2 linked regions of the Oryzias latipes genome follow. The protein of the gene in region 1 interacts with the protein of each later gene in a pairwise test. Links are inferred from orthologs where the notes say so. Each region holds a gene or a part of one and is shown on either strand. Other genes may lie near its edges.

The links.
Region 2: the proteins of lamina-associated polypeptide 2-like (region 1) and lmnb2 interact in a two-hybrid assay, tested with the Homo sapiens proteins (2 studies listed by BioGRID, with this or other methods). The link is inferred for Oryzias latipes from reciprocal best matches to the Homo sapiens genes TMPO and LMNB2.

Annotation. Positions count from the first base shown.
Region 1 is NC_019864.2:13,480,727-13,486,710, reverse strand, and holds the start of lamina-associated polypeptide 2-like, read right to left. Parts: upstream 3,367-5,984; 5' UTR 2,960-3,366; coding exon 2,726-2,959; intron 2,612-2,725; coding exon 2,494-2,611; intron 1,669-2,493; coding exon 1,516-1,668; intron 1,423-1,515; coding exon 1,313-1,422; intron 1,235-1,312; coding exon 1,134-1,234; intron 761-1,133; coding exon 376-760; 3' UTR 1-375. UniProt on the Homo sapiens protein: May help direct the assembly of the nuclear lamina and thereby help maintain the structural organization of the nuclear envelope. Possible receptor for attachment of lamin filaments to the inner nuclear membrane.
Region 2 is NC_019862.2:5,408,279-5,414,045, forward strand, and holds the start of lmnb2 (lamin-B2), read right to left. Parts: upstream 3,515-5,767; 5' UTR 2,570-3,514; coding exon 2,351-2,569; intron 913-2,350; coding exon 776-912; intron 704-775; coding exon 547-703; intron 360-546; coding exon 234-359; intron 1-233. UniProt on the Homo sapiens protein: Lamins are intermediate filament proteins that assemble into a filamentous meshwork, and which constitute the major components of the nuclear lamina, a fibrous layer on the nucleoplasmic side of the inner nuclear membrane.

The DNA of each region.
Region 1 (5,984 bases):
TGTCAAAACTACCACCATGCATGGTTCGAGTGGCCTCTCCACACCGCACTCATTTTCTACGTGGAAGAGTTAAAACACACAAAGACACAAACGATTCACATATTAAAACCATTAAAATTAGTCTCTTTTGACTGCCACAGAACAGTGTTATCCAAAAGCTACTGCTGGAGTACACCTCCCTCTTGTGGTGGGAGGAACGCTTGAGTCTGGCAAGAAAAATAAAAAATTAAAAGAAAGTTCATTAATCCAATTACATTTTTGTCCTTTGTCCAAACTTGTAGGAAAAAGAAGAGGTCTGCAAAGTTTGCTGCTTAAGTTGTGGTGCTCTGAGGCAGGGAGGAGGATGTGGACACGACGACGAGCGGCTGAGGGTCTTTACTTGCCGGCGCCCTCTGTGGCACCGCTGCTGCCAATGCCCAGGTAGGTGGCGGCAGTCTCCACGGCGCCTTGGACTGGGACAATCACGCTGTCCAGGAGGCCTCTGAGGGTGCGAACCTGATCAGAATCCAGGTTCTGGTAGACGTAGTAGAGTGAACCCACCACCACGGCAAGGAGGAGGAGCTTGAGCAAAAGGGACAGAAAGCCTCGCCGGACCGGTGCTTTGCTTGAGGGAACGGAGGCGATGGGTCGGGAGACGGTCTCGGAGTATGTGCGGGTCTCAGTGCTGATGCTGCGCTGTACACGGGATTCATCCAGCCAGTACTCACTTGGTTTTAATGGTCGACCAGCTGCTCCTTTGATTGGGCGTCTGCAGGTTGCACTGAAGGACAAACAATATATATATATAAATTTTTTTAAATGGTAAATGGACCAGGAATGAACTTTTTCTTTAGTTTTTTAAAATGCTGTGAAATAACTGTGATAAAAACCCAGGGGAACAAAGGCCTCCATTGCAATCTATTAAAACAGATTTTTTCACACTAAAGGTTGTTTGATTAAGAAATTTTCATGACTGAAATGACTTCTCTCTCCTAATTATCTGCACGCGCCAACTTAGCTTGTCCGTGGACCATATTTTTATGATTAGAATTGAAGCAACATTTCCAAAAGAAGTATTAGCCACCTTCCAATATCTTTTCACTATGTGGTAACAACACCAAACATGATGACTTAAAAAACAAAAACAAGGTTACCTGATGCCTGTTGGAGTGCTTATCTCGTTGGCAAGGATGTCTTCAATCACATTCTTGCTGGTCTTTTTTGGGGTTTCTTCGTTTAAAATCTCCTCCACAACCTGCCAATGGATTGCAAATAAATTTATGCAAAACCTCACAACTCTTTTGGAGCGTGGAGAGAGAATAGTGGCTCTTACCTTTACTTGCCGCCTGCTGCTGGTCCTGCCGGTGACAGGAGTTTTTCCTCTGCTCCTCACAGGCTTCTCCACCACAGGGACCTGCTCTGGTTCAGGGGGAGCAGTCTCCTCTGCAGGAAAAAACAACCATAAAAAGGCAAAAAAACAAATGTGAAGCTTTCTGTCATAAAAGACCTGGACAGAAAGGTTAAGTTTGAGTGTACCGTCTTCTTTGTCACTGTACTGGTCGGAATTTGTGTTGCCATTCTGGCTACTGTCTGCCTTTGGGAGCGTTGTAACATCTGGAGCTTCACCCTCATCTGCAACCTCATCCCGAAGCTTCTGCAGCTTATCCTCATACACCTTACGGGTAGTAGCTGAGAAGACGAGCGTAAGTGGGAAAAAAACCCAATAAATATACTGTAATTTGACTGTTTCATGCTAGTTTACACATGTGAATCAAGACTACCTAGAGCTAAAGGTTCCGCTATATGCAGTCTCAGTTGCACAATGACCTATTAACACTGAAAATGTTTAAACGTGTAAACAAATTACTCCATGGAAATCGTGAGATCAACTCTAAATTTAAATGTTTCACATGCACATAGAAGTTATGAGAAATGTTTCTGAGAGATCTCAGCTATTATCAATTTAAAAAACAAAAAACGCAGAAGTTATGAGCAGCCTCAATAAAACACGCCTCACAAAGTTAAGTACTTGTGGATTTGTAAACCATGTCCAAAGATAAACAACTGAATGAAATAGTTTACAAAGTACTTGATTGTGTCAGAAAGCGTGCCAGAGTAAACTTGATTTTAGCGTTGCATTACACATACAAACGGCATGATTCAACACACACACAGTCACGCGCGCAGAGAGAGACACACACAGGATCCACGCCCGTTTTCTTTCATTACAGGTTTAGCTCAGATAGAACTTGCTTACAAATGGGCGTTGAAATCACGCAGATAACCAAAGAAAAAGTGATGCAGAAGAGCTAAAGACGTTTTTTTTAATCAACCTCAAAGCAAAGATGAATGACAACATTAATTTGTAAATAAAAATAAGTAATTTTTTATTTAAATTATAGACTTAGGTTTAATACAATTATTTTAAAATGTGTGGATTATTATTTTTAGGTGGTACATGATTATTTTGAAAAAACACCTTAGTCTTAAAGTTTTAAGACGCGCTAATCTCACCAAGAATGGGTCCTGGGTTCACGCCATACTTTGCCAGCTGCTGTTTCAAATCTTCATCTGTTAGCTCTGTCACCTCCACGTCCTCTAAGCGGGGTTTATCCGTCTTTTTTGTTGCTTTCTGCAAAGGAAAAAATAATATCGATGCATCGAGGGAAAAACTAGTTCAAACTCGAACCAAAATGACGGCTAAATCAATTTCAATCAAGCTAGGAAATCAATGATCAGAACTGACTTTTCCCGAGCGGCTTTTATTGGACACCACGGGAGTGGGTAACTCCTCGTCGCTGGAAAAAGTGTCTGCAGGCAGACTCTTCTTGTTGTTTTGTGCGGTCAGGTTCTTCTTATAGAGCTGAACGTACACTTCTTTTTTGTGGTCTCCGCTCGGCAGCGGCACATTGTTTGCTGCAAGCTCGCTTTTCAGTCTCTCTTTCGTGAGAACTGACGGATTTTCGTGAAATTCGGCCATGCTAACTTGCTTTTTTAGTTTCGTTTACTCCGTATGAAAACGTATCTAATTGCTGCTAACAGCTAATAGAAACTAGGTGGCTCAGTAAGCCGCAACAAACAACAACAGCCGGAACGTGAGCGAATTACGCTGTTGTCAAACAGAAAGTGGCGCCTATCCGCTGCCTCTTAGCTAGCAGCACGGAAGCCGTTTACCCAAATATTCGTGCAATTCCGCTCGTTAGCCCAAACCCCAAAATACGAAAAGATATGTTAGATTTTTTTGAAAAAATATCGATGCATTTACGGAGACTAAAGTCGGTGGAAAAAATCCCAAAGCGGCTGCAATTTGACTTGAATTAGCTTAGCTTAAAACCAGTCCACTTGCTTCTGTCTGTCGGCGGTCGCGACAGGGCAAGGAAGAAGTCAAGCCGTTATTGGTCGGAGGAGGCCAGTAAGCTCCACACTGATTGGACAGCTATGAATGGACCGCTGGCAGTTAGCCGCCACAAAGAAACTGGAGCGTTTTGCATAAATCCCGGCAATTAAACGCGCAGTATCTTCAGTTTTTGTAATTTTAAACGAACCAAACAAGACATCATAGTTTTAATTAAGCATTCTCGACGAAATAAAGTACAGTATTTCTATTTAATCACGCTTTAACGAAGATGTTCGCATGGAGGTTCCGTTTTAATCTAAATTTTGTGTATTTCGCCGAATTTAGAAAAATATTTTCAGGTCTTAATAAAAAATCTAAATATTATTGATATATGCAATGGCATTGAAGGTTTCATATTACATAATGTGGCAACGGTCAAGTTTGGAGCCGCAGACAGTTAATATGGCTTTGTGACAGCAGGGGGCAGCATAACCACATATTCTAATTAAACACATTCATAAAAACAAAGTTGCCTTTTTAAAACTGTGACGTAATAAAACGTGGTCACATCTTAAAGTATGTGGACATAATCACTCACTGACAGACTAATAAAACTAAACCTAAAAAGACACAAGAATTTTGCTGGAGGGGAAAGAATCTACCTTTGAAATTTCACAAATCTGGGGTTACAAAATTGCATTACAAAAAATAAAAACACTTTTTAGAAAAATGACTTATGTCAAAGAGCAGATGTTTGGCTATAATACAGATGAATTTATATGTCTTAAAGTAAACACATGATATTTGCATAAACACTACATCTCAGATGTAAAGCATGATTGGTAGAAAATAATTATACTTCTATAAATCCTTAATACCTTAAAGTCTCCATTAATCAGTTTTGAAGTAAACAAATAGTCCTGTATTATAATAATATCTTGAAGCAAACACCTAATAATAATATAAACACATTACATCAGCTGTCAATCATGATTGAAAGTAATCTGGGATTATTAATCTTCCATAAATCCTGTTTTCCAATCTGTAATTTCTCAATTTGAACATATATTTTTCTTAACTTGTAATTTTAGTAAAATAAACTATTAAATAAAACCAAATGGGAAAGGAGAGGAATTACTTTATCTGTCTATGATTTAGCAACCCACTAAACTCTGTTGTTGTTCTGTAGCAAAAAAATCGACAAAACAGGCTGAAAATTCAGAAACAGGGACCGATTTGGTCGTATTGATGGTGTCTGAGATGTTTCCCAGATTTTTTGAGACAACGTCAACACAAAGGTTCATCTTTTAGTCCTGCTCAGTACTGGCAGCTGAACTTGGAAAGCTTGACATACCCGCTGTCTTTTCCAGTTGCTCTCTAACAGTTCACTTCATGGTTTCCCAAAATGAGGATTTGTGTCTTTTTTCTAAATTTTTATGGATAAATCAGTGCCTTCTATGCTATGGGATGTCAAAATAAAAGAGCCATTTACTTTACCTATTGTTAAAACTGATTAATCCATTTAAGATGGTAATTCACATGAAATTATAATAATTGTAAACATTTTGCAGACTGACAGATTAATGCAAATGCATGAATTTAGAAGTTTATCCAATAAAGGCGTGACAGCCCTGGTCCCTCAAGCAAGCCCTCCCTCTCTGTCTGATCTGGTTTTCAGGATATGCAGGTGTTTTGGTTAAAACCCTTTCTTTTCTCTGGGGTCAGTGGTTAGAGGTGATACAATGCAGCTCCCCAATCTCTTTCAGTCACTCTCTGCATCAGCCTTAAACCACACTAGTATGCTGCACTCCAAGTATGGTTAATCTTTTCCATGGTGCGTATGCCAATGGAGTGTGAGCGTAAAACATTTTAAGCCCTTGAGAAACACCTCTTAAGCTTTCTTTGTATGCAATTTACACAGAAAATACAACCCAAGCCAACGATCATAGAAAGTGCCTTTTAAGCATAACAGTCGTGGCCTCTGAAATTTGATCAAAGCGTTCTCAGTAATCGCCAACATGCACATTTTTAGAATGAGTTCATTTAAATGGAAATGCTCTATCTGATGTCACCCACTTGGCAGACTTGATGTAATTTTTTGAAAGACAATTAAAAAGCCGGTTTATTTGTATGCAAAAAACAGGGATCAGTTTTAGAAAGCTGACAACTGAATGATTAAAGGCTGTGTTGTGTTTGGAAAGGAAGGCGCATCTCGAATGAACACCAGGGCACACATCCACAGCGAAAGGAGGATTTCTGATCATTTATAAAATTTTGAACGCAGACTCCTGACTTGAGTTTACCTTGGAATTTTTTTGCCATTTCTAAATCCCAATTGTGCTAACCACAGAAGTACCTGAAGAAAAGTTCACCTTTACCACCCAAAGATTGCACGATCCAATTCCACTGACACAAGAAATTAAACCAATGCCACAGTTTCTGCACCCCATGGGTTAAATATGTCTTCTAAACCTATATGTAATCACAACAATCTATATTTTTTATATTTACGCCTTTTTTATTGCTTATACCTTGACGTAATCAGAGCAATTGTGTGAATATACACTGTTGAAAAACATGGTTTTCTGGCTCCAATCTATCAAAGAAATCTCTAATCCTTCAAAGATGTTATAACTCACTGCCAAACTAATTAAGATCAAGTCCTGAG
Region 2 (5,767 bases), on another chromosome or scaffold:
AGATATAGAGAAGTCGTCTGAAAATTCTTCTGCAAAATAACAATATTAACCTCAAAAATGTCATTTTTACACACAAAAAGAGAGATTTTAAAGGCAAAACCGGGAATTCACACCCATTTTTCTTAATTAAAACTGCACTTTTCAGACATTTCGCTTTTCTAGTCATTTTAGTGGCTCAAATATTACTCTATGATGCTAGCTGGGCAGCTGCTGTGGGACGAGTGAAGACTTACCTCATCGAACATGTTCCTCCTGAAGTCCAGATCCTCACTCAGAGACTGACAGCGGTTCTCCAGGTCCACACGCATCAGAGTCTCCGCCTCCAGCTGGCGCTTAGCAACGGCATGGCCATCCTCCGCCTGCCCAGGTGACAAACCCCCCCCCCATCAGAAATAAACTGAAAATTCTAAAATCTACTACTGAAGAAGGGCACATTTTCCCAGAAACCTCCGGTCAGAAGGGAGAGGGGCAATTATAGGAAGGTAAAAGAGACGGCACAGCGAGCAGCAGCTCAGACTCGTAGACAGAAACCCATCCAGTGCCCACCTTGGCCAACAGGCTCTTGACCTCGCCGAGCTCTGAGGTCAGCGCGGCGCTCTGGCTCAGGGCGGTGCTTAGAGCAGCCTCGCTTTTGTGCAGCTGACCTTCCAGACTGTTGGCCCGGGACACGGCGGCAGCCAGGTCAGCCTCCTTCTTCTTGGCGCTGCAGGAGGAAGAAGACCCCTCGTTAACGTTGATATCTTTGGGCAACATTTGGTCTAAGGGAGGTCCTCACCTGCGCGTGGCCTCCTCCAGGTCCGCCTGAGCCTTCCCCAGGTCGATTTGGAGCCGAGCCCTCTCTTTGGCGGTTTCATCCAAAACCCGGCGTAAGTCAGCCAGCTCCGCCTCGTACAGCGCCTTCAGGCCCGTCACCTACAGCACAGAGAAGATGAAGCAGCTGAATCCACACAGGAGCACACACCACCCCGAGCTCTCTAAGCTCACATCCTCACCAAGAAAACTCAAGACCAGCAGACAGGGGCACTTCAACCAGGGCAAAAACAAGACCTCTGAGGCTGTAAAGCAGCTAGACCTCATCACATTTTGTGACAATTGCCCCTAACAAAAAGTTTCTGTTTCCAAACTGTCAATAAGAAAAACTGCTTCACGTGGATTAAGATGAAACCTAGTTCATGTAAATGAGGAACGTTCAAGATCCTTCTGGCACAGGAGTCTGCAACCTTCAACACTAAAGGAGTCAATTGCCCCAGCTTCTTCCAGACCAGAACCCAGCGAGAACCAAAGTCCCATCTCAACATTCATAAAATGTAACTTTATTTACGTCTTTGTGGCCATTTAAACAGCTTTTTATTTATTGCAGTAATTTTATCATTTTATGTTGTATTTTTATTACTTATATTGACAGCAGCACATTCAAGTTCCTTTCAAAATAAAATACATCCTGTTTCTAATAAGATCCACATTCAGTAGATTTGCTACTACACTAAGAATTTGGCCTCTGAACAGCTACAATGCATAAAAGAATATGCTTTTAAACTTATTTTAATAAGAAACCCCTGTGACAAAAGATCAAACCTTTTCCCATCATTTCACCTAAACATGTGTGCATTTTAGAGGAATGTTAAAGCTCCCAATGCCTCCTGATTTAGAAGTTTAATGTGTCAGCAGTGGTTGAACATGAAAACAATGTTATTTGTATTTAAAACAAATTTAAAAATGAATGATAAATTTACTTAACTAGCCTAGCCTATTATTTATCACTCATGAGCATTTTTTACCAATACCAGAGTCGCATTGAATGGAGGGAATCAGAGTCACATGCGGCTCTGACCCCTGTTCCAGGTCCAAGAACTAATCCAGATCCTGTTCTTTGAATTTTTTTTACAAACTTTTACAAGTTTTTAAGAATTATTATAATCTGATCCAAAAAGTTTCAAAAAGTTTGATTTTTACAATTTAAAAATTTTTTCCTTTCAAAATAAAGTAGAAACAAACAGAAAAGCACTTTTTTAAATTTAGGATTTATTAAAAACAAAGTATGATAATGGTTTGGTTGATCATTTCTGAACTATTGGAAAGCTTGACTATGTCCCGCAGAAGCGGCGCCACTTTGGTTATAAAAGGGGGGGAAAGCGTTCAAACAGCAGAGCTGGAAAAGTGGGTCACACCCAAAAACCAGACCTGGATTTTTCACACGGACTGAAGGTTGGACTTACTCAAACACGCGCGCGCGCGCGCGCGCGAACAGAACAGAAACAAAGACTGATCACACACCCCCCACTTACCCCAAAACACACAAAACTAGCGCTGGCGGGGGCGCGCGCACACACTGCACGTGCCCGGTACTCACCTCCCTCGTGGTCACCTCCTCCTTCTCAGACACCTTCACCATCAGCCGGTCATTCTCAAGCTCCAGCGCCCGCACCCGCTCGATGTAGACGGCCAGCCGGTCGTTGAGCTGCTGCAGGTCCTGCTTCTCCTGCAGCCGGGAGATACGGGTCGGCGAAAGCGGCGTGGAGGCCGCCGACCGACCCGTATCTCGGCTGGGAGTCATGCTAACCGCCGCCATAACCGAGCTGCGTCTGCTTCACCGAACCTGGACCCGTCTGCCGAACCAGCGGAGGGATCTCGACACGAGAGCGGCGGAATCAAGGGGACCCTAGCACGAAATGGACCGCAAGATGGACGACACCGCGCCAAAAGACGGCTTCCGTCCGCGCTGCAAAGGATGATGGGAAGGGGAGGGAAGGCGCGTTCCACGTCCTCCGGAAGTTCACCAGGCTGGACAAATGTCCAAGCGAGGATGCAGAGAAGAAAAATACTGGGGTGTTACCAAGATGGCGGAATAAGCGGTTACTTTTTTCGGGGCTCCGACGCTTTACCTGAAATAATAACTCTTTCTATATGACAAGTTCAACCAAAGCTAAAGAAAATACCAGCAAAGAACTCTCAAACCGATTCAGCTTGAAAGAGGTTTGTTTACCACTGTTTTCGTTATATTTTTCAAACTTCGACGTGAAGAAATGGCTAACACTAGCAAAGACCATGAGTACCATCTAGTGGCTTCAGGACAGACGTGCAGCGAGGGAGAAGTTGAATGGATGGAGGAACAGGAAGACATCTCACAAGATCAAACGAGAGTCAACAGACACCACACACCGGTAAAAAGCCCAAACCCTAAAAAGATTAAAAAGAATGCTCCACAAGAACGCAAGGAGGAAATATCCAACAGTGTCCTCTTTAACGCGATTCAAACCCTGACAACCAAGTTTGACACTCAAAGCGAATATCTGAAAGGATATGAGTTTCAACTGCAAGAGATCACAGATGCAGTTAAACAAGTTAAAGAATCTGTTGATACAAATACAGCTGCTGTTAAAAGTGTTGTGGAAGATGTGAACCGCCTCAAACTGCAGATGGTGTCTATGCAAAAAGAAAATGCTTCTCTCCGTGAAATGTGTCTGGAACATGCAAGATATAAAAGAAGATGGTCTTTGCGACTTATTGGCCTTTCTGAGAAAGAAGGGGAAATCACACGAGATGAAACTCTCAAGATCCTTTCCAAAGTGACGTCGGTCAACGTTGAGGAACTACGACACTCAGTGGACACAGTACATCGGCTGGGACAGAAAGGAAAAAATAACCAACCAAGACAGATTATCATCCAGTTTGGAATGTGAGTGGTTCGAGACCAAGTCTGGAGAATGTCAAAAAATGCAAAAATCTGCAAAGATCTAAATGTTCGCTTCAAAGAAGACTTTTGCAAAGAAGACAGGGAGACTCGTCAGCGTCTTTGGCCGAGAGTGGAGGAGGCGAGGAAGAGAGGACTCAAGGCCTTTTTAAAGGACGGATACGCGGTCATCGATGGTCATCAGGTCACTGCTTGAAACCAATACTCCTTCATCTAGACTGAATGGACAAAGACATCTTCCTGAAGAAGAAGAGAGAAAATAAATCCAAAGCTGGTATGTTATAGTGTTAAATGTTATTACAGCTTTGAGAAAACCGATTAGAAAAATGTGAAATTGCATTATAGCCCTTTATGGAGTTAATTGCTTTCTAGCTATTCTTTATGGTTCTTTCTTTGTTGTCTTTAAATGTTCATGGTTTTAAGAATGTAACAAAGCGCAAGGCAATTTTTCTTTACTGTAAGGCACAAGTTAACGTGAACTGTTTTTTCTTTCAAGAGACACACAGTAGTGAAGAAGATTTTGATTTTTGGAAATCTCAGTGGGGCAGTGGAAACATTTATTTATCTCATGGAAGTCCTCGTTCAGCAGGAGTGGCAATTTTCTTACATAATTTTGATGGTAAAATTGTTGATCATAAAAGTGACACAGAAGGTCATTGGCTAATGGTTAACATTGAGGTGGACGACACTAAATATATTCTTGTTAACATTTATGGTTTCAATAATAGGACAAAAAATCAGAAATTCCTCACAAACATAAATCACAAGATAATCAACTGGAAACAGATGTATGCAACTGACAAGATTATTGTTGCAGGTGATTTTAACGTAGTACCAGATGAAAACCAAGACAGATATCCAACTCAACACAACTCTCCTCATTTCAATAAAATTATTTCGGAATTTTCTAACTCTCTCGACCTTATCGACATTTGGCGTAGACAAAATCCAAATAAGCTTCAATACACCTGGAATAACTCTCAACACTCTCAACGCTCAAGGATAGATTACTGGTTAGTAACAAGTAATCTAACATCTTCAACCTTGAATTGTAATATCTCCCACTCTCCTCTCACTGACCACTGTGCTATCACTTTGGCTCTTTCCCCTGAAAAAAATCAACCAAAAAATGGAACATCCCACTGGAAATTCAATAATAGCCTTTTAAATAACAAAAACTTTTGTAAAAAAATCAAATCACTTATTCCTGAAATAAAAGAAATACAATACCTGTCTCCTATTAATAGATGGGAGTGGTTGAAATTTAATATTAGAAAAATTGCAATTGTAGAAGGAAAAATTTTGGCTAGGAAAAAAAGACAAGAACAGACTGAAATAATTTCAAAATTAAACACTTTGTGTAATTTAACTCAACTGAGTGAGGAAAATGTCATTGAAATTAACAAATTGCAATCTAAATTAGATGAACTCTATACCGAAAAAGCCAAAGGAGCATTTATTCGTTCAAAGGCAAAGTGGATGGAAGATGGAGAAAAAAATTCAACTTACTTTTTTAACTTGGAAAAAAGTAGACAAAGGAAAAAAACAATCACTAAGCTACAGATAGAAAACTCTCTAGTAGACGATCAAAACAATATTAAGGACTATATCACCAACTTCTATAAAAATCTTTACACTACTCAATATTCAAATCAAAACACACTTTTATTTGAAAGGTTAATCTATGATAAAGTCCCTAAAATAGACAAGACATTTAGAGATCTCATGGAATCTGAACTTACTATAGATGAGCTTGATAAAGCTGTTTCCCAGATGGCCAGTGGTAAATCACCTGGACCTGATGGAATTACAGCTGAGTTCTACAAACACTTTTGGACTGACATCAGAGAAATGTTGTTTGAGGCATTTAATGAATGCATCGACGAACAGATGTTGTCACCTACAATGAAAAGAGGCATTATTTCCCTTTTACCCAAACCGGGCAAAGATGTGTTATTAATTGATAATTGGAGACCAATCACACTTCTTTGTTGTGACTATAAAATACTAGCACATATCTATGCTAACAGATTGAAATCAGGAATATCTCAGATCATAGACGAATCACAATCAGCA